Linked DNA regions of Cricetulus griseus. The protein of the gene in region 1 purifies or fractionates together with the protein of each later gene. This does not show direct contact. Links are inferred from orthologs where the notes say so. Each region holds a gene or a part of one and is shown in the gene's direction. Other genes may lie near its edges. The genes, in order: Snrpa1, Sf3b5, Sf3b4, U2surp, Srrm2, Cdc40 and Sf3a2.

Region 1 (4,483 bases):
TACATGAGCTCAATCCAATCATCCCAGCACTTGGAGGTGGAGGCAGGGAGGTGAGATGTTCAAAGTCATCCCCTGACTTAGCCATTACAGCTCTTTCAGAGGACCTGAGTTCATTTCCAGCAACCACCTGTAACTCCAATCTCAGAGAATTTAGCATCTCTGAAGTCTGTGGGTATCTTCACCCATGTGCACAAAACCACACAGGTAATTTTAAAAAAAGATTTAAAGAATGCTTTTCTGCTTTTGCAGAGGACTGGAGTTCAGCCTGTAATACACATGTCCACAGGATTACAACAGCTAGTTCCAGGGAATCTCAGGCCATAAGCCTCCCCTGGCACCCACAAACAAGTGGCATATACACTAATTAATAAGCTAAGATAAAAAATAAGCGCACTAATTCGTAGAATTGGGTTCCTGGCCGTCTTTGGGGACAGAGGCCAAGGCTCTGCAGGTGTGTGTGTTCACTCTGTTGGCATTCATCAAATGTCAGGTTTCTGATGTGTGTACGCCCCTGCTCTTCATATGAATTTTGTTGCTGTTGTTGGTTTTTTTCAAGCCGGGTTTTCTCTGCATAGCCCTGGAACTCGCTCTGTAGATCAGAATGACCTGGTCTCATCTCACAGATCTGGCCTCCCAAATGCTGGGATTAAAGGCGTTCCCCGCCACGCCCAGTTTACAATATGAATATCATTTAAGCTTTATTTTATTTTTATGTTTGCGATTGCCGGTGTCCGAGGAGGTTAGAAATGGGCGACGAATCCCTGGGGCTGTAGTTACAAGCAGTTGTGAGGTGCACAACTGGGTACTGAAATGAGACTCCTTTTGCAAAAGTCTTTTGCAAAAGCAGCAAGTGCCCCTAACCTCTATGCCATCTCTCTGGCTAGCCCCTCGACATCAATACTTAAATGTCTAGACGCCGCAAGTCCACCCTGAGGCTTTAAGGTGACCATACTAGCTCGGATGTTGCCCATCTTAAGGCAGTCCAGCCGAATGGCCCAGCCTTGTCTCTGCTGGACCGCAAATCTTAGAAACCTGAATCCCTGAAGCTTTGGCGGAGTGTCCGCCCCCTGTTGGACAATCCCAAATACCCCAGCCTCGAGGTTCACTGAAGTGAGAGTGCCTCTCTCGTGTTCTTATCTTTTGGACACAAATATCTGGAATCTGGGCTCGCCACACTCCAGGAACGCACCAGCCAAGAAGAACCAAGAAGCAAAGACGACGATCGCAACGCCCGGCGGTGCCTTCGATCGATTGCTTTAGCCTGGTGGTCGAGGTGAGCGCCGCTCCGATTGGTTTTGTCTGGCAGCGCGGCGCGGTGCACCCTGGGACACGGCACTGGCGGGAGGCGCAGGCCGGTGGCCGAGGTGAGGGGACTCGGCGGCGGCAGGATGGTGAAGCTGACGGCGGAGCTGATCGAGCAGGCGGCGCAGTACACCAATGCTGTGCGGGACCGCGAGCTGGATCTTCGCGGTGAGTTAGGGGGATCGCGGGCTGTGTCCGGGCTCGGCGCGAGGCCGGGAGGAGCGGGCCCCGCCGCGTGCGCGGAGGCCGGAGCCTGGCCCGGGGGCCTCCCGCCCGGGTTTAGGGTACCTCCTCCGATCGCCGGTCCCTCAGGACCCTTTGGAGCCGTCTGTTACCCGCTCCCGCTAACAGACACGGCTTCTCCGTTCCTTCCCGGGTCCGTATTCGTTAGGCTTTGCCCGGCATGCTCAGCAGCCTGAACTGTTTGAGGGCCAGGAAAATAGAAAATGGTATCTTCCGGACCGCGACCGGCTGGTTTTTAGCAAATGCGTTAATATGACACGTGAGGGTAGATTAGATATAAGTCAAAGTTATCTTAATTATACAATAATTCCATTTTGGGTCTGCTCATTTGTTTTTTGAGACAGGGTCTCCTGTACTCAGAGCTGGCTTCAAACCGCTGTGTAGTTAGGGACGTTCTCGAACTTCCGGCCCTCTTGCCTCCACTTCCCGGCGCTGGGTTTAAACGTGTGCCCCATGTTTATATGGTGCTGCGGATGAACCCAGGATTTTGTTCTTGATAAACAAGCACTCGCCCCACAGAACCAGGTCCCCAGCCCCTGATAATTCACTTTTATAAGAAGGTGTTTTCTAGCTTGATCTGTTTGACCAAGGCTTATAGTCATCACTCCCATGTGAGGGGTGGTGAACACTAACCTGTTGAGTAGAGCTTGGTTTAAAAAAACAAAAACAAAACACAGCATTAGCTGGGCAGCGGTGGCACACGCCCGGCACTCGGAAGGCAGTGGCAGGCGGATCTCTGAGTTCGAGGCCAGCCTAGTCTCCTGTGTCGAATAAAACAAGAAAATGACAATAATAACAAAATATAGCATTGAAAGTGCAGTTATCTACTTTTCAGGAGATGGCTTTGAAAGGGGTTAGGATTATATAACTGTGTCATGAGGCAACCACAGTCTCGGGGACTATACTCTGCCATTTGCTAAAATGCCTTGCTGACCTATAGAAAATCCTAGTGCTTTTGTTAGACATTAGCTTTCTCAGACAAAAGTCCATTTCAGAGGTATCTGAACCCTTTTACTGTCTTGGCACACAGTTTTGGTCTCTGCTGCATCTCTGAAGACCATGCAGTCTTGATAAAGCTTATTTTATTGCGCTCTTTCACAACTGAGTGAAAGTTGTGTACTAAGTTTCTCTTCTTCCTTTGGCACCTAGCTCGATGGTTATGCCCATTAGACAATCAAGGGGATGTTCACAGTGTGGTTTGTGGTTGTATAGACACCATTTTCAGCTCTGAATTGGAGCTGGTGGAGAAGAGAGTGAGTCAGGATAGCATGAGGATATACTGCTGAGTTATGTGAATGGTTTAGAAGGCTGGTCACCAGTGTCCCAGCAAGACTTGAGCATTAACAGTAAGCAGTGTTAACTTGACATAGAGCCTGACACTCTTAAGAACTTTGAACAGTGTAAATACCTTGTAGATGTTCTCATAAACAGTGGACACCAATATTACTAAGTATACGCCTGTGTTCTTGTTCTTGCCTTCAACCTCCTCTTCAAGTTTACTGCATGACCACACGCTTCGAGGCAGTAAGGACCCTGTAACTCATTTGTCACTTATCTTCAGTATTTTTGTACAGAGTGTGACATGGCACCCGTGCCGGTTTAATACTTCTTGAATGAGTACTTTGAGTCTAATTACAATCAGATGCTCCTACTGTTTTCAGGACCTTTCATTTATATTAATATTTGCTGTATGTATTTTTCCCCTCTACAGGATATAAAATCCCTGTCATTGAAAATTTAGGTGCTACCTTAGACCAGTTTGATGCTATTGATTTTTCTGATAATGAGATCAGGAAACTGGATGGTTTTCCTTTATTGAGAAGACTGAAAACATTATTAGTGAACAACAACAGAATTTGGTGAGTGTCTGCTAGTGAGAATACTTTTCTACCTTGAAAAGATGTTACAATGTACCCTGAAGAAAGACATGATTTGTTTTTAGTTTTCATTTTATGTATATTAGTGTTTGGCCTGCAAGTGTGTCTGCACTATCTGTATACCATTGTGGTGCCTTTGGAGGCCAGAAGAGGGTGTGAGTTCCCTGGAGCTGGAATTACAGACAGTTGTGAGCTCTCATGTGGGTACTAGGAATAGAATCTGGGTCCTCCGGAAGAGCAGCCAGTGCTCCAGCCTCTCCATGTCTCTTCTTAAAGGGAGGAATGAATCGAGCACTTTTTCTAAGAGATTGGGAGACTAACGTGGGCATTGGTCTGACCTTACTTGCTATCTTCAGAGATCTTTAGTATTCGTAGTTGATACTAAACTTTGAATTTAAATTTAAAACATGTTGCTCTGTATACATTTCAGATTCTAGAGCAATTACCAACAGCATCATAATAAAAATGATTTATAAAAGTCAGGTGTAGTGGTGCCCACCTTTAATCCTAACAGTTGGAAGGCTGAGGCAGTCCAGCCTTGTCTCCACAGCAAGTTACAACTGATGCTACAGAGTGAGACCCTGTCTCAATAACATCCTTTTTGTTTGTTTGTTTTTCAAGACAGGTTTTTCTCTGTGTAACTTTGGAGCCTGTCTTGGAACTCACTTGGTAGACCAGGCTGGCCTTGAACTCACAGAGATCCTCCTCCCTCTCCTTGCCAAGTGCTGGAATTGAATATGTGCACTACCACCTGGCTGTTTATCAGCTTCATATAAAAATTGAATTAATATAGTTATTAAGGAAGGTTTCTCGTACCTGGTACTGGTGTTTCTGTTAGGGTCAGTGCCTCTTGTGGGAATTATTGTCAGGGGACCGGAATTGCTGAAGACATAGCTTTTATTAAGGAAAGTTTCTAGGGGCTGGAGTCATGGCTCAGTGGTTAAGCCTACTGGCGGCTCCTTTTCCAGTTCAGATGAAGTGGGTTCTTCTCCTTCCCAGACCAGTGTGGCAGTTCACAATTCTAGTTCCAGGGAATTCAAGGCCCTTTTCTGGCTTCTACA
Region 2 (2,971 bases), on another chromosome or scaffold:
ATCCAGGGATTACCTCACATTCTTAAGTCCTTTTTATTCTTATACTTATTTATGTTTATTTATCTATTTTTGTTTTTGGTTTTTCGAGGCAGGGTTTCTGGCTGTTCTGGAACTCACTTTGTAGACCTCTTCAGACCTCAATCTCATAGAGATCCACCTGCCTGGGCCTCCTGAGCGCTGGGATTAAAGGTGTGTGCCACCACTGCCTGAGGCATTCTTAATGGCACTGGAATTGCACTAATTTTTGATTTATTTCTTACTAACAGAATTTTCATGCAGATTCTACTTGTCTTAGTTGAAGTTTCTCTTGCTGTGACAGAACACTATAATTAAAAGCAACTCAGGGATGAAAGATTTATTTCATTTACTCTTCCGTATCACAGTTCATCATCTAAGGTAGGCAGGGCAGGAACCTGAAGGCAGGAGCCAATGCAGAGGCCATGGAGGGGTGCTGCTTAATGGCTTACTCTTCGTGGCTTTCTCAGTCTGTTTTCTTATTCAATTCAGGACTACCAGCCCAGGGGTGTCCCCACTGTAATAGGTTGGGCCCTCCCCTATTATCAGTCTCTTTGACTGAGATTGCTCTTTGTCCATTCATCAGATTTTTCTTTTAAAGAATACGATCTCCATCAAGCTATATAATATCCTCAAAGGATATCAGAAAAGAAGTACAGTATCTTTTTCTCAAGTAGTTTATACCTTTGTGAGGAGATACATAACCTCTAAGTTGAACATAAGGTGTAACCAGGCAGAAAAACAGAAGGAGAGAGTACTTGTCTTGAGACACAACTGACTTCCAGAAAATGATTGTAAGCAGCCTTAAAGTTAGGAGGTTGTTTGGTTGGAGGGCTCGGGCCCCTGGGTGGTGTGAGGAGTTGGAGCCTGGATTTTGATGTGGAAGACACCTGGTGTTGACACTCATCACCAAGCATTTAGGACCCAAAGAACTTTTCCCACTACCCAGATCCTAAGGGACAAAGCTGGGACCAAGGGCGGTCCGTGTGAGCTTCTAGGTACAAGAGATAGTTTTCCTGGTCACTTGTAGTCGTAATCGTTGGACACCATCCTACATTAGTCAGGCAAAAAAAAAAAAGAAGAAAAAAAAGGAAGGAAGGAAGGAAGGAAAGGAGGGAGGGAGGGAGGAGAAAGAAAGAAAGAAAGAAAGAAAGAAAGAAAGAAAGAAAGAAAGAAAGAAAGAAAGAAAGAAAGAAAGAAAGAAAGAAAGAAAGAAAGAAAGAAAGAAAGAGAGAGAGAGAGAGAAAGAAAAAGAAAACAAAAAACCAAACCAAAAGAAAAAAACACGCCAAATTCTTTGGACTACAAATCCCAGAATGCAACGCCGGAGTTAGAACGTGATCACCCAAGAGCCACTCAGCAGACCATCATGCAACGCTCTCCAAGTAGGCGGGCTCGCTGAGGGGACGGCCCAATGTTTCTTAGGCAACTCCAATGCCGCGGCAGGATTCACTTCCGCTTCCGCCTGGGAGAAGAGCGTCTGCGCAGGCGCCACAGTGGCGTCTTTCTCCCGCGCCTACACAGATAGAAGTTCCGTGTCGGGCCGGCAGCGGCGGCGGCGGCGTCTCTCAGGTTTGAACGCGGAGCGGGTAGCGTCGGGTCTGCGGCCTGATCTGGAAGCCTAGAGCGGAGCGGCGAGATGACGGACCGGTACACCATCCACAGCCAGCTGGAGCATCTGCAGTCCAAGTACATCGGTACGGGCCACGCCGACACCACCAAGTGGGAATGGCTTGTGAACCAGCACCGGGACTCCTACTGCTCCTACATGGGTCACTTCGACCTCCTCAACTACTTCGCCATCGCCGAGAACGAGAGCAAGGCCCGCGTGCGCTTCAACCTGATGGAGAAGATGCTGCAGCCCAGCGGGCCGCCGGCGGACAAGCCCGAGGAGAACTGAGGCGAGCGCTTCCCAGGCTCCCCCGCCGGCCAGCGGTGGGCCGGTCCTCCTTGCTCGGGCTTCTTCATCGTCTGTCACGCCTGGCCTGCTTACCTGTGGACGATTCCGAACAAGTCACCGAGAGACTGTCGGGACCCCCGGGAACTGTGCGGGAGGAGCGACCCTAGACCCGGCAAGCGAGGGAGAAGACGCCACGGGAGTGATGACGCGTTTCTAATGAGTCTGCCTTTCAGTAGTTGGTTGTCCTTCTTGCCATGTTTATAAAGTTTAGGATTTGTCCTATCTTTTGGTGTGGATTGCTGTGTTCCTTGGGTGGGGTCTGGGGAGGGTGCTGTGGACCAAGGTCTCAAGATGTTGCACGTTGCATCTGTTTTTCTTGAGAGTTAGTCTGTGTGTCTTCAGAAATGAAGAACGGATTTTTTTTTTTCATTCAGTGTTCACCAGAGCGTTTTCCAAAGGTTTGGGGGCATACATTATGCCAATTTGGAGAAAGGCTAAAATAGACCAGGGCTAGATGATGCAGGGAGATTGAGGAAGCTTGAAGAATTCGCAATTTTAAATACTATGCTTGTAATGCTAAGATATTGCGATGATGACATTTGAGAAAAGATTTTACGGAATCCAGAGAAAAACCGTGCAGAGCATGGGAAGTTGCTTACCATCTAATAGGGCATTCGTTGGTGTGTTTTAAGTTACTGAAGGAACACCAAAAAAGCAATGAGTCGCTGGGAGTGGCACACACCTCTAATCCCAGCACCCAGGAGGCAGAGGCTGAAGGATTTCTTGAGTTCAAGATCACATGAAAAAACCGGTAAGAGCCATTCACTGAGCGTTGTGGTACACGCCTTTAATCCTAGCACTCCAGTACTCTGTAGGCAGAGGCAGGGGATCTTGAGTTTGAGGCCAGTCTGCAGGTGGAGTTTCAGGACTGCCAGGGCTACACAGAGAAATCCTGTCTGGCTGCCTGCACCCCCCCCCCCCCAAGCAGTATGGCAGGAAGGGATGAGCAATAGAGCACAGGACAGCAACAGGAAGGAGAGGCTGGTAGGCCAATGC
Region 3 (4,613 bases), on another chromosome or scaffold:
AAAGCTCTCTGGGAGATGGTGGTGCATGCTCTAATCTCAGCACTTGGGAAGCAGAGGCTGTGGATCTCTTGTGAGTTTGAAGTCAGCCTGGCCTACAAAGTGAGTTCCAGGACAGCTGCACAGAGAAACCCTGTCTTGAAAGAACAAAATGAGAGAGAGAGAGAGAGAGAGAGAGAGAGAGAGAGAGAGAGAGAGAGAGAGAGAGAGAGAGAGACAGGGAGCCAGGAGAAAGGGGGCAGGGGTGGAGGAAGAAAGAGAGAGAGACCTTTGTGCCCTTGTTTTCCCCTCCCCAGATGGGCTCCTCGGCTCTTACAATCTCTGGCCTCCAGGATGAACTCTCTTGTCTTCAGGAACTATTAAGAAAACTGACACCAAGAATATCTCCTGAGGATCACTGCAAGAAGAGAGATCCAAATACCATCCTCTCTCAGATCCGTTGAGACTGCTAGCATTCTCGAAGGCAGGGCAGAGGGAATGTGGAGGGAGTTCTGCTCATGTTTCTTTGTATCTGACCTCAGTGTTTCAAGCTTTCACATTCCAGCCCATAAAGGAGCTCACTCCGTGAGTGAGTTTCTGTAGCAGACATGGAGCTACCAACCTCCAGCTATTTTTGTTTCTCTGGAATAAGAAACAAAACCACTTCAGAACGTTTCCTTTTTTTCTCTGGCAATTCCATGCCGTTTAGATGACAAACTGTCAAAACTGTGAGATCAGAGACACTTCATCAGTTCCAACAAGATGCCCCAGAGACTTCATTCTCAACCCCTCACACTGCTTTGAAATCCAGTTTCTTAGTCTTCTGTGGGAATGAGGGAAATAAGGGAGACACCCTGTCCTCCCACTGTATATTTTTGTAGTGGTATTTCTATTTAAGGACTTCATTAAAGCACAGTATTTCTACACATTGCTGGTATTGTTTCTTGTGTTGAATGAAGATCTCGGTAAAGTGGTTGGGGGAGGGTATGCACTGAGAGAAAAGCACCCAGATTATTGATACAGAAATTAAGGACCCAGTTCGAGGCCAGCCTGGTCTACAAGAGCGAGTTCCAGGACAGCCTCCAAAGCCACAGGGAAACCCTGTCTCGAGAAACAAAACAAATAGATAAAAAAGAAGTTAAGGACCCAAAACAGGAGGGGCTATTCCGACGAAATTTGGAGAAAGAAGCACCAACCCCTTTTTTTTTTTTTTTTTTTTTTTTTGAGACAGGGTTTCTCTGTGTAGCCCTGGCTGTCCTGGCCCGGGAGGAAGGCTCTCTGAGTGTCTCTTCTGTGGGAGGGGAGGGATGCACGGTGCTGCCGAGTGCTCCCGAGGCTGAGACTGACCGTGAACACACGCGGCACCGTGCCTCAGATGACCCCACGAATAGTGGGGCTCAGACACTTCCGTCTGCACTGAGGTAACAGGCTGCGTCCCGAGGCAGCCGGCCCGCCCCTCCCTCCCCCCAGCACGCTTCTCTGCGTCACAGAACATACAAGGCTGAGATTAGGGCTTAAATTTGGGCTGGGGAGCAGCGGGACTGCCTGACAGGCGAGAGCCGCGTCGTCAAGAGGGGCCTGAGCGCCTCGGCGCCAGCCGGGCGTCGTGAGAGCTCCACCACAGCGTCTTTCCAGACACGCGTCAGACGCCTAAGATGGCCGCGGCCACTTCCGGCTCCTCCCCTGCCGCCCGCCCCGCCCAATGGGAGCCTTGGCCCGGAAGTGGAAGTCGTAACAGGTCAGAGGGCGGTGCTGCCGCTTAGAGACGGCGGGAGCCTCTTCGCCATGGCTGCCGGGCCCATCTCCGAACGGAATCAGGGTAATTGGGGGAGAAGAGCCCAAGGTGGGCCCAGGGAGGTGGAGGGCAGATGAGTGCTAGAAGCGTTAGCGCCAGCGTGGGAAACTAGGTTTCCCCGGGAAGGCCCGCGTCTGGGGGCTGGGCCTGGGGGCCGGGTTGAGGCCGAGGCCTGTGAGGGTGATGCCTCTGGATCCGGTTCCCGTAGGCACTCCCGCTGCTACCAAGCGCATCATTGAAACTCCACCGGGAAGTACACAATCCGCAAGAACGCCACATTAGACTTGAGCGGGTTTTTTTATACTAGGCAGGCAAAGGGTGATCTCAGGGTTTTAGTTACTTTTTTTTTAAATTTCTGTTTTCCTTTTAACTCGTGACCTCGTCCTTACCTTCTGCTTTCTTGCTTTAGATGCCACGGTGTACGTGGGCGGTCTAGACGAGAAAGTGAGCGAACCACTGCTGTGGGAGCTCTTTCTCCAGGCAGGGCCGGTGGTCAACACCCACATGCCAAAGGATAGAGTCACTGGCCAGCACCAAGGTGAGTATTTACGGCAAGAAATGACTTTACTTTGGGTTAGCGGCCCCTGAAGCATCTCAACACTAGTCACAGCTATTTTGGAATGGTTTCTTTCTCTAAGCTTCAGTTGGCAGTTTGTTTCAGGAGTAGTCTCTTAGCTTTAGTTTGAAGTTGGGATTCTTCCAACTTGTTCTTTGTTTGGAGGCTGGTGAGTTAGTGTGTCGTTTTGAATCTCTTCATCTGAGTAGTCTTTTCTTCAATTCCCCAGGCTATGGCTTCGTTGAATTCTTGAGTGAGGAAGATGCTGACTATGCTATTAAAATTATGAACATGATCAAACTCTATGGGAAGCCCATACGGGTGAACAAGGCTTCAGCTCACAACAAAAACCTGGATGTAGGGGCCAACATTTTCATTGGGAACCTGGACCCAGAAATCGATGAGAAGCTGCTTTATGATACTTTCAGCGCCTTTGGGGTCATCTTACAAACCCCCAAGATTATGCGGGACCCTGACACAGGCAACTCTAAGGGTTATGCCTTCATTAATTTTGCCTCCTTTGATGCTTCGGATGCAGCAATTGAGGCCATGAATGGGCAGTACCTGTGTAACAGACCCATCACTGTGTCTTACGCCTTCAAGAAGGACTCTAAAGGCGAGCGCCATGGCTCAGCAGCTGAACGACTTCTGGCAGCCCAGAACCCGCTGTCCCAGGCTGACCGTCCTCACCAGCTGTTCGCAGATGCACCCCCTCCACCCTCTGCCCCCAATCCTGTGGTTTCATCCCTGGGTTCTGGGCTTCCTCCACCAGGTAAAGCTTTTAGTTCAAACTACACCAGTGAGAGGCCCTTGGGAGGGAGGGTCAGAAGGCAGAAGAAACCCTGAGGGAGTAAGCTGTTAACTCAGCGGGCAGCGAGAAAGGGATGAGGAGTGCTGGTGGAAGGGATGCAGATGTTGGGTTTCTTTGGGAGACTGGAGTTTAGTGTGCTGGAAGGAAGCTAGAGCTCTGTAAGACAGTCTTTCTTTCTTCACAAGATAGACTCTCGTTTCTTGTATAGGCATGCCTCCTCCTGGCTCCTTCCCACCTCCAGTGCCGCCACCTGGAGCCCTCCCTCCTGGGATACCCCCAGCCATGCCCCCACCACCTATGCCACCTGGGGCTGGAGGACATGGCCCCCCAGCAGCAGGAACTCCAGGAGCTGGGCATCCTGGTCACGGACACTCACATCCTCACCCATTCCCACCAGGTGGGATGCCCCATCCAGGTAAGTGGTCTGCTGGGAAACGGAGATGAGCTTGTGAGAGTGATTCTGTCACTGCTCTTTGTCTTGGGTGGAAATAGTCTAGAGTCTCCCTTTCCTTCAGAAAATACTTCTGTGTGTACTTCAGCTCCCTCCCGTCTTGTCTCTGGTTTTTCCTTTTTCTGCAGAATAGCCTGTTCTTACTGTTTTTACTCTCAGCCTCTCCTCTGATTCCCAGGAAGGAGCTCAGTTGCCAGATCTAGGCGACATTTTTGCTTATTTTTTTTTGTTGTTGTTTTGTTTTAGGGATAAGGTCTCTCTGTGTAGGATCCTGACTGTCCTGCAACTCATTCTGTAGACCAGGCTGGCCCTGAACTCAGAGATCTGCCTGCCTCTGTCTCCCAAGTGCTGGGTTTAAAGGTGGCACTACCACTGGGCAGCCGTTTCTGCTTTTTGTTTTTGTTTTTCGAGACAGGGTTTCTCTGTGTAGTTTTGGAGCCTATCCTGGCACTGGCTCTGTAGACCAGGCTGGCCTCGAGCTCACAGAGATCCTCCTGCCTTTGCCTCCCGAGTGCTGGGATTAAAGGCGTGCACCACCAACGCCTGGCCTGTTTCTGCTTCTTAACCACTACTATACACATGACGAGCTATGCATGTATTAAACTGTTTCCTCTATGTGACTTATCAACCTCAGCAACCTGGGTCAGCCCCCTTTTTTGTCTGTGTAGATTTTGTGCTTTGTTCTTCTTCCAGTGTTTATTTGTAGTGTTAAATGTGCAGGTACTGATTCCTTCTGTCTCTAGTCCATGGTTCTTGACAGGCTAGACAAGGCTGCTGCTCAACCCACAGTTCACTTTTCTCCTTCCAGCATCTCCTTCTACAGCCCTTGTTTGTAGCAGCTAAGTTCACAACTCTGGGAGTTTGTATACTGTCATCCACTTGCAAGTTTAACACATGTTTCTGCCAGTTGCCACAAACCAGCACCTTACTCTGTTGTACATATACTGACTGTGGTAATCTCCTATCTCTTTGACTCTAATTTTCTCTGTCTTTGATCTACTTTTATTCATAGGAATTTCCTTAA
Region 4 (4,023 bases), on another chromosome or scaffold:
GCCTAAAATACCTGCTTGGTCTAATAAAGAGCTGAACAGCCAGTAGCTAGGCTCTCTGGCAGGGCAGAGAGAATAAATAGGAGAAATCTAGGGAAGAAGATCCAGGAGTGAGAAGAGGAGGAGGAGAGGATGCCAGGGGCCAGTCATGGTGTAAGAAGGAAGGAAAGATGTATAGAATAAATAAAGGTAAAAAGTCCAGAGGCAAAACGTAGTTAAAGAGAAATGGGATAATCTAAGTTAGAAAAACTGGCTAGAAACAGGCTAAGCTAAGGCTGGGCATTCATTAGTAAGAAAAAGTCTCTGTGCATTTATTTGGGAGCTGAATGGCAGGCCCCCAAAGAGTAAAGAAACCAACTACACCTTGGTTTGTGTTTCTTTTTTATTTTAACCCCTCTTCCCTGTAAAAAAGCCTTTTGCCTGTTACTGACTTTGAGTTAGGAAATAAAGAGCATTCCTCATTGAGTGGGTATGTACCTCAAAACCATAGTCTGCTTGGAGTAACCCCAGCTTTTGTTTGCATTTGGTACTTTAAAACAGTAACTCTTCTAAAGACTTGGCTATAAATTAACATATTTTAAATTTATAAGTAACATTAAAATATGTATGTAAAGACAAAATAATCTTTTTGTTTCTTTTTACAGCCTCTTCTAGAAAACAAGCTTAAAGCATTCAGCATTGGAAAAATGAGCACAGCGAAGCGAACTTTAAGTAAGAAGGAGCAAGAGGAACTAAAGAAAAAGGTAATGTTTAAGTATATTTTAGGTTATGCTTTGAAATGAATGTGTAAGCAGTAGAGACCATGTTTCTGAAGAATTTGACTTCTTACGTGTTTGCAACTCCACGTCTGAGTCAAGTCTTTAACATAAGGAAGCTTCTCTTCCTTTCCCCTGATCTATAGCTCTATGTGATGATCAGTTATTTTGTCAAAGTGTGTGTGTTTGTGTGTGCATGTACTCTACTGTACCCTTTTCCTTTTTATCTTCCTTTTTAGATGGATGATAGTATGCTATAGAGTAAGAGTACTTTCCTCCATTTACTCTTTTTAACCAAATGTTATATCTTTATGAGTACTTGTAGGATAGAGAAATCCTACATTTTTATAGCTTTGTAGGTTTGTAATAGTTTGTTCATTTAAAATCCTATTGAGGGCCGGACGTTGGTGGCACACGCCTTTAATCCCAGCAGAGGGAGGTGGATCTCTGTGAGTTGAGACCAGCCTGGTCTCTCCAGAGCGAGTGCCAGGATAGGCTCCAAAGCTACACAGAGAAACCCTGTCTGGAAAAACAAAAACAAACAAACAAAAAATCCTATTGAGGGATTTTTGGTTTTGCTCTTCGGACATTATGTTACAAATGCTTTTTATGAATATGTGCATTTTTTTTTCCTAGTTTGCCTTTGGGGACATATTCCTGAAAGGGGAGATAGTTGGAGTGAATACTAATAAAAGTGATGACCCCACCCCCATACACGTGCATGTAGTGAATCTTGCTGAAGGAATCTTTGCCAATTTGTAGTATGAAAAATAATACCTCAGTGTAGTTTTGAATTTGCAGATCTTTCAGTGGGAATACAGTTGAGTACCTCGCTCCCCTGCTTTATTTCTTTTTATTTTTCTTTTGGTTTTATTCTTGTAAAAATTATTGTTATACTCAGTGCTCAGTCTTTCCCCATGATTTCTTGCCTTTTCTTTTCTTTTTTCTTTCTTTTTTTCTTTTCCATTTCTGGCTTATAGAAGGATTTTCCTCTAGGATCTGCATTCTTAGAAGAATCCCAATGAATTCCTAGAATTGTTTCCATTTTTAAGAAAATTTAATCTTCATGCAGTTTTTCCTGGCATATAATACAAATAATTGATGTCATTTTATCTCTTTTCAAGTAGTTTTTTATGTCAGTTTCATTTATGGGAAAGTTTGTGTATCTCCCTCTGACACTAGATACTCCTTTTATTGGATGTATTTCTTTTCTAATTGTTCCATTTTCCTGTTTGATTTGGGTTTTTGAGGTAGAGTCTCTTTATGTAGCTCAGGCTGGTCTGGAACTCTGTCTTCCTGCCTTCATTTCTGAAGTGATAGACATGTGCCATCATTCTCAGCTTGGTATTCTTACTCATATATTTTGGGGACGTTTAGATGATGTATAGTTGAGAATGCCAGTTTTTTTAGCTTTTTTTTTTTTTTTTTAATGCCATGTTAGAAATAGGTACTGTAGTTTTGCTTCTATTGTATCTTTGGCTTTGGCTATTTGAGAATGAAATTTTTATTTATGATGAATTAAGTCATAGTGCCTTGGAGAACAACTTTTTTTTTTTAAATTTATTTATTTATCATGTATACAGTGCATGCCAGAAGAGGGCACCAGATCCCATTACAGACGGTTGTGAGCCACCATGTGGTTGTTGGGAATTGAACTCAGGACCTCTGGAAAAACAGTCAGTCCTCTTAACCTCTGAGCCATCATCTCTCCAGCCCCTTGGAGAACTTCTTAAATAGTAATAGACTACTATATTTTCATACAGTCATTTGTCTTACAGTTTGGCTCTTGAATTGTTTTGAAATGATTTACTTGTTTACCCATATGTTGTAAATTATTTTCTGCGTCTTTAAATTTCTAATAAAGGAGAAAATGCTTTTTGTTTTAATTATTTAGCATATGATTATTGGTAATGTCTAATGTCTACCAAGTAGTAGATATTAGAATAACTTGGGAAGGAAGAAGCTTTGTGTATACAATTTCTTTTCTTTTTTTCTTTTTTATGTGTATGGATGTTTTGCCTGTCTGTATGTGTTTGTGACCTCTGTATACCTGGTCCCAGAGAGGTCAAAAGAGGGAGTTGATCCCCAAGGACCCAGGTTACAGATGGTTGTGAGCTGCCATGTGGATGCTGGGACCTGGATCCTCATGAAGAAGAGCCAGCTCTTAGCTGCTGAGCTGTCTCTCTGCATAGAGGCATTTGTCTTTATTCCCACCATTTGGTAGGCGGAAGTAGGCAGATTTCTCTGTGCAAGGCTAGTGTAGTCTACATAGTGAATTCAGGTCTGCCTGGGCTACATAGTGAAATCCTGTCTCAAAAAACAAAAACAAGTCAAGCCATACCTACATAGCATTTCTCACGTCACTAATCTTTCGTTATGTATTTAGGAGGATGAAAAGGCAGCTGCTGAAATTTATGAGGAATTTCTTGCTGCTTTTGAAGGAAGTGATGGTAATAAAGTGAAAACATTTGTTCGAGGCGGGGTTGTTAATGCAGCTAAAGGTAAGTGCAGAAATATGGATTTGAACAAACCTTGGATGACGCAGCAACACGTTAATTATGGAAGACATTTGACTTTGAGCTTCACATTTCTTTTCTATTAGCTCCCTCTAGTGGTTAGACTGAGTAGCAAAATAAATGACCAAATATGGAGTAATGAAGAGACATTGAATGTGATTTTCAGGACTGTATGAAGGAGTTAATAAGAAAAATACTTAGTACCAAGCTTTTAAAAAAAAGCAGATTATGTTGCAGAAATTTTAATGTTACATAGTTTTGCTATATAGTGATTGAATTGTGACTTTTTAGGGTTGAGTGGTAATAATTAAATTTAATTTTATATCCAAATCTTAATACTAAAACTGTCTTCTTAAATAGAAATAACAAAAACCAAAATTATATGAAGTTAGTTTTACAACTTAGTATTTTAAATTTCAGATGAACATGAAACAGATGAAAAAAGAGGTAAAATCTATAAGCCATCTTCAAGATTTGCAGATCAAAAAAATCCTCCAAATCAGTCGTCCAATGAAAGGCCACCCTCTCTTCTTGTGATTGAAACGAAAAAACCTGTAAGTAATTATTAAATAATTGAGTGTTTATTTTAGAAGCTAGTATTGACATTAGTACTTTGAGTGTACCCTTACAAGAAATTTTTTATGGTTTATAAGTCTTGGAGTAGGTGTTGAGTTTTGACGTTGTCTAACTCAGTAATTCATGTAGATGAGCGATGGTAGATTATGTTAGGATATGGCAATAGTACTTACTCGTTG
Region 5 (2,921 bases), on another chromosome or scaffold:
CTAGAACACCAGCTGCACTGGCAGCTTTGAGTCTCACAGGCTCTGGGACACCCCCGGCTGCTGCAAATTATCCCTCCAGTTCCAGAACACCCCAGGCTCCTACTCCTGCAAACCTGGTGGGTCCTCGATCTGCACATGGCACAGCTCCTGTGAATATTGCTGGCTCTAGAACCCCTGCAGCCTTGGCTCCCTCAAATCTCTCCAGTGCCAGGATGGCTCCAGCATTGTCTGGTGCAAATCTCACCAGTCCCAGGGTGCCCCTTTCTGCTTATGAGCGTGTCAGTGGCAGAACCTCACCTTTATTGCTTGACCGAGCCAGGTCCAGAACACCACCATCTGCCCCCAGCCAGTCTAGAATGACCTCTGAGCGGGCTTCTTCCCCTGCTTCAAGAATGGTCCAGGCTCCTTCACAATCTCTTCTCCCTCCAGCACAGGATAGGCCTCGGTCCCCTGTGCCATCTGCTTTTTCAGACCAATCTCGTTCAATTGCCCAGACCACTCCTGTAGCTGGGTCTCAGTCCCTTTCATCTGGGACTGTAGCAAAGTCCACATCCTCTGCTAGTGACCACAATGGCATGCTTTCTGGCCCTGCCCCAGGGCTGCCCCATGCTGAAGGTGGGGAACCACCAGCCTCTACTGGGGCCCAGCAGCCTTCTTCACTGGCTGCTCTGCAACCAACAAAGGAACGTCGGAGCTCTTCCTCCTCTTCATCATCATCTAGCTCCTCCTCCTCCTCATCTTCATCATCATCATCATCCTCTTCCTCTGGCTCCAGTTCTAGCGACTCTGAGGGCTCCAGCCTTCCTGCTCAACCTGAGGTGGCACTGAAAAGGTGAGGGAGTTAAGGAATCTAGGGGGAAGGTATTTACAATGGGTGGGGGAGTTGGGAGGGAGGGAGAAATCTTGTCACAAGTACTTGACATTTTGAAAAAGTGTGGGGGACCTTGACCTTCAAGTTGGGAGTAGAAAGACTGCTGGGGTGGGGGCTTTGTGGGGAGGAATGGGACAGATAACAGTCTCCGAAGGTTAATTCTCCAGAGGATAATGATAAGTTTTCCATCTCTACAGAGGACAGAACTAGAGGAAATGGACTTAATTTTACAGCAGGAGGGATGGCAGTTAGACCTCAAGAGGAACTCCCTGGGCTGGAAGGATCTTCAGAGGTCATCCCATCCCTCTCCCTGCCTCCAGGCAGGACGGCCCCTCCCCAGCCAACCTGCACTCACAGGGGCCTTCCCAAGCTGCGGCTCTCCAAGGAAGGAGACCACCCAGCTTCAGCTTCCACATCTGAGTCCAGGGGCCTTATTCCTTCATCAGGGACATTCTTGAGGTTTAACCTTGATCCCTTGTGCTTCGGGCCCCAGCCTGTTGCTTGTGTTAGCAGAGGTTTGGTCAGCTCTGTGCCACTGCTGCAGAGAAGTGCTTACTGGCCTGCCTTCGTGTGTTCCCAGGGCCTTTCTCAGGCACCCCTCCCCCACTGCCGTTCCTCCAGGCCAAGGAAGGTAGGGTTGGGGCTGGGGCCTCTTGTCTCCTTGTGACACTTTTCTTCTCTCACAGGGTCCCCAGCCCCGTCCCAGCCCCAAAGGAGGCTGTTCGAGAAGGACGTCCTCAGGAGCCAACCCCAGCCAAACGGAAGAGGCGCTCTAGCAGCTCTAGTTCCAGCTCCTCTTCCTCCTCCTCTTCTTCCTCTTCATCCTCCTCCTCTTCTTCCTCTTCCTCCTCTTCCTCTTCTTCCTCCTCTTCCTCTTCTTCCTCCTCTTCCTCCTCCCCTTCCCCTGCTAAGCCTGGCCCTCAGGCCTTACCCAAACCTGCAAGCCCCAAGAAGCCACCCCCTGGCGAGAGGAGGTGAGTGCTTCCTTGCCTGTTATGGAAAGGGGGTTGGGGGTGAGCTCTCCAGAAAAGGGACCCTGGGTGAGGTTCCTGCTGGGGTGCCTAGTGTGGAAGTCTGCGTCTGGTTGTACGGGAGGAGTCCGACACTCCTCCCATCCTCCCACAGTGTTGTTGTGTTCTGGTCAAGGCTGCACTATTCAACTGAGGGTCCAGGCCAGAACTGGGAAGTTATAGGATTCTTCTTCCCTCTCCCCTCCCCTGACAAGCAGCCTGGTCTCAGAGATTCTAGCTCTAAGTCTCCCCATTGCTGCTGCAGGGCTCTGGTCTGGCCACCGTCATCTTCTCCCGACTCTGTCCACAGCCTCCTCCCTGTCTCCCTGCCTCCACGCCATTCTCTTCCACACGTAGCCAGAGGGATCTTTCTAAAACGCACATCTGGTTACTTCCCTTCACTCCACAAATCCTTCCGGGACGCCCTGTGGCCTGCAGGATAAAGTGCCACCTCTGCGGGAATGGCGTGTGAGGCTCTTCACCAGCTGCCCTTGCCCACCCTGTGCTCCTCCTGCCCGCCCCCACACATGCCCTGTGCTCCAGCCATACCCAGCGCCTTGCAGTCTAAGGAGAGCCCCATGCCTTTGGACATGCTGTTCCTTCTGCCTGGGATTTCCTTGTCTGCCTGGTGAACTCGTTCTGCAAGACTGCACTCAAACAGCACCTCCGAGAAGACTGCCTTGCCATTTCCCTGCCCTGCCCAGGTCCCCATCCTTGCTCGGGATTCCCAGGCCCATGCATATCCATCCCCACTGGCCTGTTTCCTATGTAGGGGGCATGTGTGCCTTCATTGTTGACCTCCTTCACTACCAAACAAAACTCCAAGGGCAGGGACTCAAATTTTATCTTTGCATCCCCCGCTGCACCCTGTGCCCTGTCCACTGGGGGCACTCGGTGGATGGTGTGCGGGCGGATGGGTGAGTGCGGACAAAGGTGGGTCTGAGGCTGGCCCTGTGTGGTGTGAGGTTTGGTGGTCAGGACCTGGGTGGGTGGTCCTGAATGCTTGGCTGGTGGGTTTGGGAGGATGTGGTGCTATAGAG
Region 6 (4,513 bases), on another chromosome or scaffold:
GATCGTGAATGTTCGGATCGGATGAGCTCTCTTTTCACCATTATTCTAGTTCATCATCCGCAAGTGCAAGAGAAGGTGTCGGAGTACGGAAGCTAGGGGGCATGCTGTAGCTAGGGGAAAAGAAAAATGGGAAAGGTGCAATGGATGCTGCATAGTTGAATAATTATCTGGGTGGCACAATGGGCGAGTCCTGCCGACATCAGAGCCCGGCGAGCATCTCCCTAACTCTGCCCGAGGAACCTCCCGATTCCCAGGCATCAGAAGAGACGGCAACCGCTTCTCTTCCACACGGGAAAATAAAGGGATACCCGCACTCGCTTTACCGCTTTACCGCTGTCGTGCACGGGGAGCCGCGGCGCGAAGACGCGCGGCCAGAGCTCGCTTTTCAGAGCGGCAGGCACACAGGGCGAGCCGGGGCTCCGCGGTGGGCTGCAGCCTTGGCCGGCGCCGAGGCACGAGGGCGAAGCGGCGGCGGGGTGGGAGCCGCGCGCCCCGGACCGCACGGCACCGCAGGTGAGAGCCGCCGCCGCCGCCGCCGCTGCACCCGGAGCAGCCTCGGGCTGGTCCCCACAGCCGAGACCCGCGCCCTCGTCCTCCACGCGCAGCCCGGGCTGCTAGGCGGCGGGCGCGGGGGAGCCCGGGATGGGGGCGGGGGCGGGCGGCGCGCCCATCATCGCCGCCGCCGCGGCCGCAGACCCGGGCTCCCACACACGCCCCTCTCGGCTCCGGCCGATGGAGAGCAGTTCCCCTGCCAGGACCCGGGGAAGAAAGGGGACAAAATCCTGACAGACTCGTGCTCACCGAGAAACCGTGGGGGGCTCGCGCCTTACCCCTTCTTCATGCTTCGGCGGCGGTCGCCGGTCCCGCTCCGCGCTGGGACTTCACCGAGAGCCCCTCGGGAGCGCCGGGCCGCGGGGTGGAAGCCGCGCCGGGCACTGGCTGGGGCGCCGGGCCGCCGGGAATGCCGCCGGGGGCGCCACTGATGGCCCGAGCCGCGGTGCGCGCGACGCGCGAGCGAACAACACCGCGAGCCGCCGCTGCCCTGCGCCGCCCCCTCCCCGCGCGACGCTCCACAACCGGGCGCGGGGACCCGCGCCTGCAGCAGGGGGAGCCGCGGGGCGCTCTCCGCCTCGCCCCACAACCTTCCCCCGGAGCTGCGCCAGGCGGGCCCCAGGTCTCCGAACTGAAGATTCGCACTGTCCCCTTGAGTCCCGCAGGGCGTAGGGTCGCAGGGCGGGAGACTCAGCCTCCGCTCACGTACTCGTCCGTGGGCAAGAGGACGGAGCTTCCCCCTGTCCTGAGGCTCCGTGGTATTGCCCAATCCGCACTTTGGGGGAGGGGGCCGCAGAGAACGATGCTGGGCTAGGGAATGAGGGAAGATGATATCCAATTGAATGAACCATCCTTTGGGGGCGGGGTCGAAGGCCGACCCCTCAGCCCGGCTCCGCCTCCTCCCTCCAAACTACAATTCCCATGGTGCCTCGCGCTTCCCACCGCTCTGCACGCCGGGAGTGGAGGACCTCGAGGCTTCAAAGGTATCTCAGAACTGTGGGGCTTTAATCAACGAGGTCCTGAAAGTTATAAGTAGTTGTAATTCCTTGTGCTTATCTAGATTAATGTTTGCGAGTCTCAGATACTGATGCAGTCAGAGTAATAATCATTATATTTTTTTCAGGAAGTTATAAATGATTTTTTGTTAAAGAAGGTAAATAAAGTGTTCCTTGGCAATCTGTCAGGACCTGGGAGTCGCTGCTTCTTCCGCCCTGGCCTGACCACAGCAGAGAGGATCTGTTGCAGTCATGTCCGCTGCGATTGCAGCTCTAGCTGCTTCGTATGGCTCGGGTTCAGGGTCCGAATCGGACTCGGACAGTGAGGGCAGTCGGTGTCCGCTGCCAGCCGCCGACTCTCTCATGCACCTGACCAAATCGCCTTCAGCCAAGCCCTCTCTGACAGTGGCGGTAGATTCGGCTCCGGAGGTGGCGGTTAAGGTAAGTGTTTTGGTCACTGATGGGTGCGGGAATTGGTTTCAGATCCCAAACCGCTCGTCTCCGGTGAGGTGCTGAGAAGTAAATTACTAGCGTTTACGCGTCGTCCCACATCTTCCTCCACTACCCCTCTGCTGTCTCCATCGCATAAAAGTGGTCCAAGAGGGGAAGAAAGTTTGAATTCTAGGCTAGGACGTAGTCTTATTAGAGCAGAAGTTTAGAACATAGCTAAAAGCGCATCAGGACTTCCTAACTAGAATTTGTGCCCTCACCAGAAGCGAGCCGTGGCCAGGCACTGTTTTGTTTTTAAGAAACTAGTCTCGAATCCTGGCTTCACTACTTGCAAATTATACAACTTCCTCTTGTATAATGGAGATAGTTGTTTAAAAACTTACCTATACCGGGGGGTTATTGTAAAGATTAAGTGAAATTATATAGTAAAGTTTATATAACACAGAGCCTAATAATCTAGTAAGAGGGCAATACATGCTAGCTATTTGTGATTGTATATGTTAATACAACGAGTGGGAAAGGGGCATAAGCTTTAAGAAGTAGCATGCATGGACCCAATGAAGGAAGGTGATAAAGGAAAAAACCCAGCTATGTAGTTCTTTATTAAGCACGTATCATTTTCCAGAAACAACAGGACTGAAAGCCACAGAGGCCAACAAAACCGAACATACTGGGAGCATTAGTGCATACTGGAATCAATTAGATGTGGACAAAAATGTAGTTACAGATTGGATTGAACACTGGGAGGGGGAAATAACCATGGTAAAGAATAAGGTAAGGCAGGATGGTGGTGGTGCAAGCCTCCCAGCACTCAGGAGACAGAGGCAGACAGATCTCTGTGAGTTCAAGGCCAGCCTGGTCTACAGAGCCAGTTCCAGGATAAAGCTACACAGAGAAACCCTGTTTCAGGAAGGAAAAATAAAGAAGAAGGTAGCAGTGTGATTTTTGTAGAATGCTCAGATCCTCTCTGAGGGGAGATAAAAAGTCAGTTCAAAGAAATCGAAGCCCTGTAAACTAAGGCAAGAGTTTGCAAGCTTAGGTGACTTGCAAACCTAGGAAGGCAGAGATTTGGTGTGTCTGGGGCTGATGTCTTAAACTCAGTGAGAGCATCGTCAATCAGTAGTTAGCTCCATGTGGGTGTTCAAAATGTGGAGAGGAATCTGTACAAAACTTCCCTCGGAAGATGGGAGGAGCGAGGGAGGTCTTGTTTGTGTCTTAAGTCTTTCACAAGTTTTGACGGGCCATTTATGAAACTTTTTTTTTTTTTTAAATAAGGACATCTGGCATGAAAGAATGCTGGGAATTCTATCTTTAGAACAAAACAAAGCTCTCCCAACTGAGGACATCTCACTAGCCTCCTCAGTCTGTTCCGTAGAAAACTAAGCTTTTGGTTCTGCATTCTTCCCATCTTTGTCACAGCCCCCCCCCCCCCAAGCTCAGTGCAGTCTAGCCTTAGCTTCTTGATTAACAACTTCATGGGAATGATGTCTTAGGCCTTGCATTAATTGGTCCTTCCATCTGACTTGAATCTCTGCATCAAATAACATTGTTAAAGGCATTGATGGCATATACCTTTAATCCTAGCATTTGGGAGGCAGAGGAAGGTGGATCACTGTGAGTTCGAGACCAGCCTGGTCTACAAGAGCTAGTTCCAGGACAGCCTCCAAAGCCACAGAGATTTTTTTTTTCACATATATTTTTCACATATATTTTCCTGTCTTGGAAAAAAACAAACAAACAAAAATCAAAAAAAAAAAAAAAAGAATTTCTCTATCTCAATTCATTTTTTCCCTGCAGCTTCCACTGAGTATTCTGCAGCCTCTGGATTCCCTCATCTTCTGCCAGCCCCTTCAGCTTTAGTGCCTCCTAGGTCTAGGCCCTTATTTCAAGTTCCATCCCCTCAGAGGTGACTACTGTGAAGAAGTTAACATAGGCATGAAATGAGTCAAGATTCCAGTGTTATTCAGATCTACCTCTAGCACTACACACATGGCCACTTGGATATATTACTTAAGAGCTAAGCCAGTTCTTATTCATCTTTCAAATAGGTTTAGCTACTTATTTTCAGAAATTCGAAGCAGTTTTAACTGTATCAAATAATACATGCTGATTAAATGCCAACTACCCTGATAAACTGTCCTAAACTCCTTGCCAGCTTAAGTATTAATAAAAAAAAAAAAAATCTCTCCGGGTGGTAGTGGCACACGCCTTTAATCCTAGCACTTGCGGGGCAGAGGCAGGCAGATCACTGTGAGTTCAAGGCCAGCCTGGTCTACAGAGTGAGTTCCAGAACAGCCTCTTAAGCCACAGAGAAACCCTGTCTCAACCCCCCCTCCCCAAAAAAAAAAACTCATCCAGGATGGTTCTTAGGCCCCTTTTGTATAGTGCACTGAAAACTTCAGTTTCTTTCTTCAGAGTCCACTTTTGTATTCCCATTTTGTTTTTGATCCATGGCCCAAGCCATGAAACAGAAGCTCATTATTTTTCTTTCCTCAGTGCCTGGAGCCAGTTAGTTG
Region 7 (4,105 bases), on another chromosome or scaffold:
CCTCCTCCTCTGAGAGCAACCGGGACCGCAGGGAACGCCTGCGACAGCTGGCCTTAGAAACCATTGACATCAACAAGGTGGGGGGGTACCTACAGTAGGGGTGTGGAGGGAGCAGTGTCCCCACACCTACAGACCCAGGTTCATGGGGCCAGGCTCTGCGATCTAATGGGTACATATGTTCCCTCCAAGGACCCATATTTCATGAAGAACCATCTGGGATCGTATGAATGCAAACTTTGCCTGACACTGCATAACAATGAGGTGCGTGACCCCTGTCCCCAGAGCTGAGGGCTTCCTTGGGGTTGGTCTGCTTCAGTTGAATTCTTTTTTTTAATCAGCTATGCTGGGTAAACAGCCACTGGGCTAGACTATATCTCTGTCCAGTTCTTGAGACAGTCTCTGTATAGCTCTTATGAGGCCAGGACCTCCTGGCCCTCTTGCTCTGCCTCCTGCCTGACCCTGCACTGAAGGTGGCCTGGAGACCAGCTAATCCTTTTGCCCTTTTCTTTTACTGGCCTTGATGTCAAGACAAGAGCCAGCTGTTTGATCTGCGAATGCCCCACAGACAAGTGATGGGTGCCTACCAGCCACAGGGAAGGGATGTAACTGGTTCTTTTTCTCTGGGGTTCTTTTTTTTTTTTTTCCTCGAGACAGGGTTTCTCTGTGGCTTTGGAGGCTGTCCTGGAACTAGCTCTTGTAGACCAGGCTGGTCTCGAACTCACAGAGATCCGCCTGCCTCTGCCCCCCCGAGTGCTGGGATTAAAGGCGTGTGCCACCAATGCCCGTCTGGGGTTCATTCTTAATCCAGGAAGTTACCTCCCTACCCTCTCACTGGATGACCAGACCAATCAGCAGTAAATGGGATGCATTTGACTTTGTTGACAATGGAGTCAGGTTGACACAGCTGGGCAGGATGCCCAGGAGTTGTAGCCTAGGCCTCCCACCCCTTGTTGGGAGCTCCCCAGCACTATAGACCTTCGGTGTGTATGCTGGTCCTGACCATAGAACTTCTCAGGGAGGCAAAGAGAGTATCATGCATGTCTCCTCAGTGTAGCCACAGACATTGTGCATCCCCTGCAGGCTCCCATGCTGGACGCTGTTAAGAGTTGCCCTGCCTGTCCTGCCCTCCCCACCTTTAGTGATGTGTCTCTTTTCTCTTTGCAGGGGAGCTACCTGGCTCACACCCAAGGGAAGAAACATCAGACTAACTTGTGAGCCCTCACTTGGTGTGGCTTGGTGGGGAGGGAGGGAAAGGCCCACTGCAGAGCTTATGGCTAAGGAGCAAGGACAGTCGGGGAGACTGGTTGGTATACTCCAGGGCTGAGCCCTCATCCTGTCCGTGAGTTCCAAGGCCAGGGGGTTCTGACAACTGGGCTCTTGGCCTTGGCGGCTGGTAGAGGGACACCTGTGTTTCCTGTTTGTAGGGCTCGGCGAGCTGCCAAGGAGGCCAAGGAAGCCCCTGCACAGCCAGCACCCGAGAAGGTCAAGGTGGAGGTGAAGAAGTTTGTGAAGATTGGCCGCCCTGGCTACAAAGGTGTGTGGGTGTGGGTGTGTGGCGGCCTGCCCACGAGACAAATGGTTGTATCCCTGACCCAGGATACACTGGTCTCTAGGACACTCAGCTGCTGCTTCCTCTGTCCTCAGCAACCGACTGTTGGCAGATAAGCACCCATCCCCCACTAGAAACTTCCAGAAGAGGAAAGGGAGGCAGGTTGTCTGCAGTCAGTGCTCCCAGAGCCCCTCAGCAGGGGCCTTGAGTGACCTGGCCTATCCAAAATGCCAGTCATGTGGCCAACAGGGAGCCAAGTGCCCCAAGAGTCACCATTGACAGTCAGGGTACTGGAAAGCTGTGACATAGTGTTGCAGAGGGCTGTCCACACTGTCCCTACATACAGTGCTGGGTGGGTTGCCCTCACTTGGATCCTAGCTAGGTGGCCAAGGAGCAGAGCGGCCAGGCCTGGTAAGGGGAAACCTGTTCTGGTAAGCACCCATGACACATGACAGCCCCGTCCCCTGTGTGTTGCAGTGACTAAGCAGAGGGACACAGAGATGGGCCAGCAGAGCCTGCTGTTCCAGGTGAGGTGAGGCCAGTGAGGGGTGGGCCAGGCAACCAGGTGGTAGTGCTAAGGTTTTTGTGCTCGTCCCCCAGATTGACTATCCTGAGATTGCTGAGGGCATCATGCCACGCCACCGCTTCATGTCTGCCTATGAGCAGAGGATAGAGCCCCCAGACCGCCGCTGGCAGTACCTACTCATGGCTGCTGAGCCCTATGAGACCATTGCCTTCAAGGTAGTGACCCTGAGGACTGGAGGAGAAAGATAAATTCAGGTTTGTCTGTTTGTATTGGTCCCAGGGTGCAGCCTCTGCTTCCCTCCCCCAGGTGCCAAGCCGGGAGATTGACAAGGCTGAGGGCAAATTCTGGACCCACTGGAACCGAGAGACCAAGCAGGTAAGGTGTGGCAAGACTTGCCTGGGTACTCCCCTACCCCCACCCCCCCTGCTCCTCCAGCCTCTGACCCTCCTCCCCTGCAGTTTTTTCTTCAGTTCCACTTTAAAATGGAAAAGCCACCGGCCCCACCCAGTCTCCCAGCTGGACCCCCAGGCGTCAAGCGGCCCCCACCCCCACTCATGAATGGCCTGCCTCCTCGCCCTCCACTGCCGGATGCCTTGCCCCCACCTCCGCCTGGTGGCCTGCCTTTGCCCCCTATGCCCCCCACAGGGCCTACTCCCGCTGGGCCCCCTGGACCTCCCCAGATGCCTCCACCAGCTCCTGGGGTCCATCCACCAGCCCCAGTAGTCCATCCACCCACATCTGGGGTCCATCCTCCAGCCCCTGGGGTACACCCCTCAGCCCCTGGGGTACACCCACAAACATCTGGGGTGCACCCACCAGCCCCTGGGGTGCACCCACCAGCCCCTGGAGTGCACCCACCAGCCCCTGGGGTGCACCCTCCAGCCCCTGGGGTGCACCCACCAGCCCCTGGAGTGCACCCACCAGCCCCAGGTGTGCACCCACCAGCTCCAGGTGTGCACCCACCAGCTCCAGGTGTGCACCCACCAGCTCCAGGGGTCCACCCTCCCCCATCAGCTGGAGTTCATCCTCAGGCTCCAGGAGTACATCCACCTACTCCTGCAGTTCACCCTCAGGCCCCTGGGGTGCACCCCCCAGCTCCTGGTATCCACCCTCAGGCTCCTGGGGTGCATCCCCAGCCTCCTCCTGGGGTCCATCCTGCCACCCCTGTGGTCCACCCTCAGCCTCCAGGGGTTCACCCCTCAAATCCTGGTGTGCACCCAGCTCCTATGCCCCCCATGCTAAGGCCCCCACTCCCATCAGATGGCCCTGGGAGCATGCCTCCTCCTCCCCCAGGCAACTGAACACTGGCCCCAGCATCCCTTGCTGCCTGTGTGTGGCCTTTTCCTGGCCAGTCCTTGGAAAAGTTTTCTGTTTTGTCCTGTCCTGAGCCCATTAAACAGCCTCCCCCATGTCTCCCTGTCTGCAGTGTGTGTCTGTGGTGGGGGGTATGGGCGGGTGCTGTGTGCCTTCATTGAAGGCATGATGACCTGTGAGTCCTCCAGGTGGACTCCCTAGGCAGATGGGAACTACCCAAGGACAGTTCTAGCCTCTGCAGTTGTGGGCCTGGCTGTGAGGACAGAAAACCCTTTGAGAAAGCCACCTCCCACCTGCTGTGCACACAGGGCACCAGGCACTGTCCCCCAAGGTCACCTCCACCTCCGGAGTTGATAGGGGTGTCCCTCCCAAGCACTCTGGCTCAGCCAAACATATAAGCAGGGCCTCCCAGCCCTTGTTGCTCTACCATGCAGGGACCACCCCTCTCTCCACTAGTGCTGCTGCTGGTGACCATGGGCACTGTGTTACAGGCCAAGACCCTCAAAGAAGACCTCAAAAGAGCCACCAGCACCAGGGGCCTCATCTTCTTTGAAGATGGGATCTGGCCTCTCAGCAGTCCCCCAGAGCCCTTGTGCCTGGTGACACTGAGAGGCTTGAGGAACACAAGCAGAGCCCCGCTAAGGGTGGTAGGGGGCCTGGACAGTTATGAGCATTCCTTCCTGGAGGCTGTACAGGAGTCTCACTGGGGACCCCAA

Evidence for each region.
Region 2: the proteins of Snrpa1 (region 1) and Sf3b5 purify together in Homo sapiens (affinity purification with mass spectrometry; 5 studies listed by BioGRID and IntAct, counting the BioPlex papers as one, with this or other methods). This does not show direct contact. The link is inferred for Cricetulus griseus from reciprocal best matches to the Homo sapiens genes SNRPA1 and SF3B5.
Region 3: the proteins of Snrpa1 (region 1) and Sf3b4 purify together in Homo sapiens (affinity purification with mass spectrometry; 3 studies listed by BioGRID and IntAct, counting the BioPlex papers as one, with this or other methods). This does not show direct contact. The link is inferred for Cricetulus griseus from reciprocal best matches to the Homo sapiens genes SNRPA1 and SF3B4.
Region 4: the proteins of Snrpa1 (region 1) and U2surp purify together in Homo sapiens (affinity purification with mass spectrometry; 5 studies listed by BioGRID and IntAct, with this or other methods). This does not show direct contact. The link is inferred for Cricetulus griseus from reciprocal best matches to the Homo sapiens genes SNRPA1 and U2SURP.
Region 5: the proteins of Snrpa1 (region 1) and Srrm2 fractionate together in Homo sapiens (co-fractionation; 3 studies listed by BioGRID, with this or other methods). This does not show direct contact. The link is inferred for Cricetulus griseus from reciprocal best matches to the Homo sapiens genes SNRPA1 and SRRM2.
Region 6: the proteins of Snrpa1 (region 1) and Cdc40 purify together in Homo sapiens (affinity purification with mass spectrometry; 3 studies listed by BioGRID and IntAct, counting the BioPlex papers as one, with this or other methods). This does not show direct contact. The link is inferred for Cricetulus griseus from reciprocal best matches to the Homo sapiens genes SNRPA1 and CDC40.
Region 7: the proteins of Snrpa1 (region 1) and Sf3a2 purify together in Homo sapiens (affinity purification with mass spectrometry; 8 studies listed by BioGRID and IntAct, counting the BioPlex papers as one, with this or other methods). This does not show direct contact. The link is inferred for Cricetulus griseus from reciprocal best matches to the Homo sapiens genes SNRPA1 and SF3A2.

What each region holds. Positions count from the first base shown.
Region 1 is NC_048596.1:131,213,500-131,217,982, reverse strand, and holds the start of Snrpa1 (U2 small nuclear ribonucleoprotein A'), read left to right. Parts: upstream 1-1,311; 5' UTR 1,312-1,388; coding exon 1,389-1,470; intron 1,471-3,256; coding exon 3,257-3,404; intron 3,405-4,483. UniProt on the Homo sapiens protein: Involved in pre-mRNA splicing as component of the spliceosome. Associated with sn-RNP U2, where it contributes to the binding of stem loop IV of U2 snRNA.
Region 2 is NC_048595.1:275,868,140-275,871,110, reverse strand, and holds Sf3b5 (splicing factor 3B subunit 5), read left to right. Parts: upstream 1-1,505; 5' UTR 1,506-1,654; coding exon 1,655-1,915; 3' UTR 1,916-2,199; downstream 2,200-2,971. UniProt on the Homo sapiens protein: Component of the 17S U2 SnRNP complex of the spliceosome, a large ribonucleoprotein complex that removes introns from transcribed pre-mRNAs.
Region 3 is NW_023276806.1:60,350,720-60,355,332, reverse strand, and holds the start of Sf3b4 (splicing factor 3B subunit 4), read left to right. Parts: upstream 1-1,637; 5' UTR 1,638-1,761; coding exon 1,762-1,795; intron 1,796-2,180; coding exon 2,181-2,309; intron 2,310-2,556; coding exon 2,557-3,099; intron 3,100-3,346; coding exon 3,347-3,553; intron 3,554-4,613. UniProt on the Homo sapiens protein: Component of the 17S U2 SnRNP complex of the spliceosome, a large ribonucleoprotein complex that removes introns from transcribed pre-mRNAs.
Region 4 is NC_048597.1:204,121,511-204,125,533, reverse strand, and holds part of U2surp (U2 snRNP-associated SURP motif-containing protein), read left to right. Parts: intron 1-641; coding exon 642-740; intron 741-3,138; coding exon 3,139-3,253; intron 3,254-3,688; coding exon 3,689-3,822; intron 3,823-4,023.
Region 5 is NC_048600.1:43,336,824-43,339,744, forward strand, and holds part of Srrm2 (serine/arginine repetitive matrix protein 2), read left to right. Parts: coding exon 1-832; intron 833-1,557; coding exon 1,558-1,845; intron 1,846-2,921. UniProt on the Homo sapiens protein: Required for pre-mRNA splicing as component of the spliceosome. As a component of the minor spliceosome, involved in the splicing of U12-type introns in pre-mRNAs.
Region 6 is NC_048595.1:263,392,974-263,397,486, reverse strand, and holds the start of Cdc40 (pre-mRNA-processing factor 17), read left to right. Parts: upstream 1-1,569; 5' UTR 1,570-1,799; coding exon 1,800-1,988; intron 1,989-4,513. UniProt on the Homo sapiens protein: Required for pre-mRNA splicing as component of the activated spliceosome. Plays an important role in embryonic brain development; this function does not require proline isomerization.
Region 7 is NC_048598.1:101,584,145-101,588,249, forward strand, and holds the end of Sf3a2 (splicing factor 3A subunit 2), read left to right. Parts: coding exon 1-77; intron 78-189; coding exon 190-261; intron 262-1,164; coding exon 1,165-1,211; intron 1,212-1,424; coding exon 1,425-1,534; intron 1,535-2,026; coding exon 2,027-2,076; intron 2,077-2,149; coding exon 2,150-2,290; intron 2,291-2,381; coding exon 2,382-2,450; intron 2,451-2,533; coding exon 2,534-3,376; 3' UTR 3,377-3,488; downstream 3,489-4,105. Other genes in the region: Amh (muellerian-inhibiting factor), read left to right, coding at 3,818-4,105. UniProt on the Homo sapiens protein: Component of the 17S U2 SnRNP complex of the spliceosome, a large ribonucleoprotein complex that removes introns from transcribed pre-mRNAs.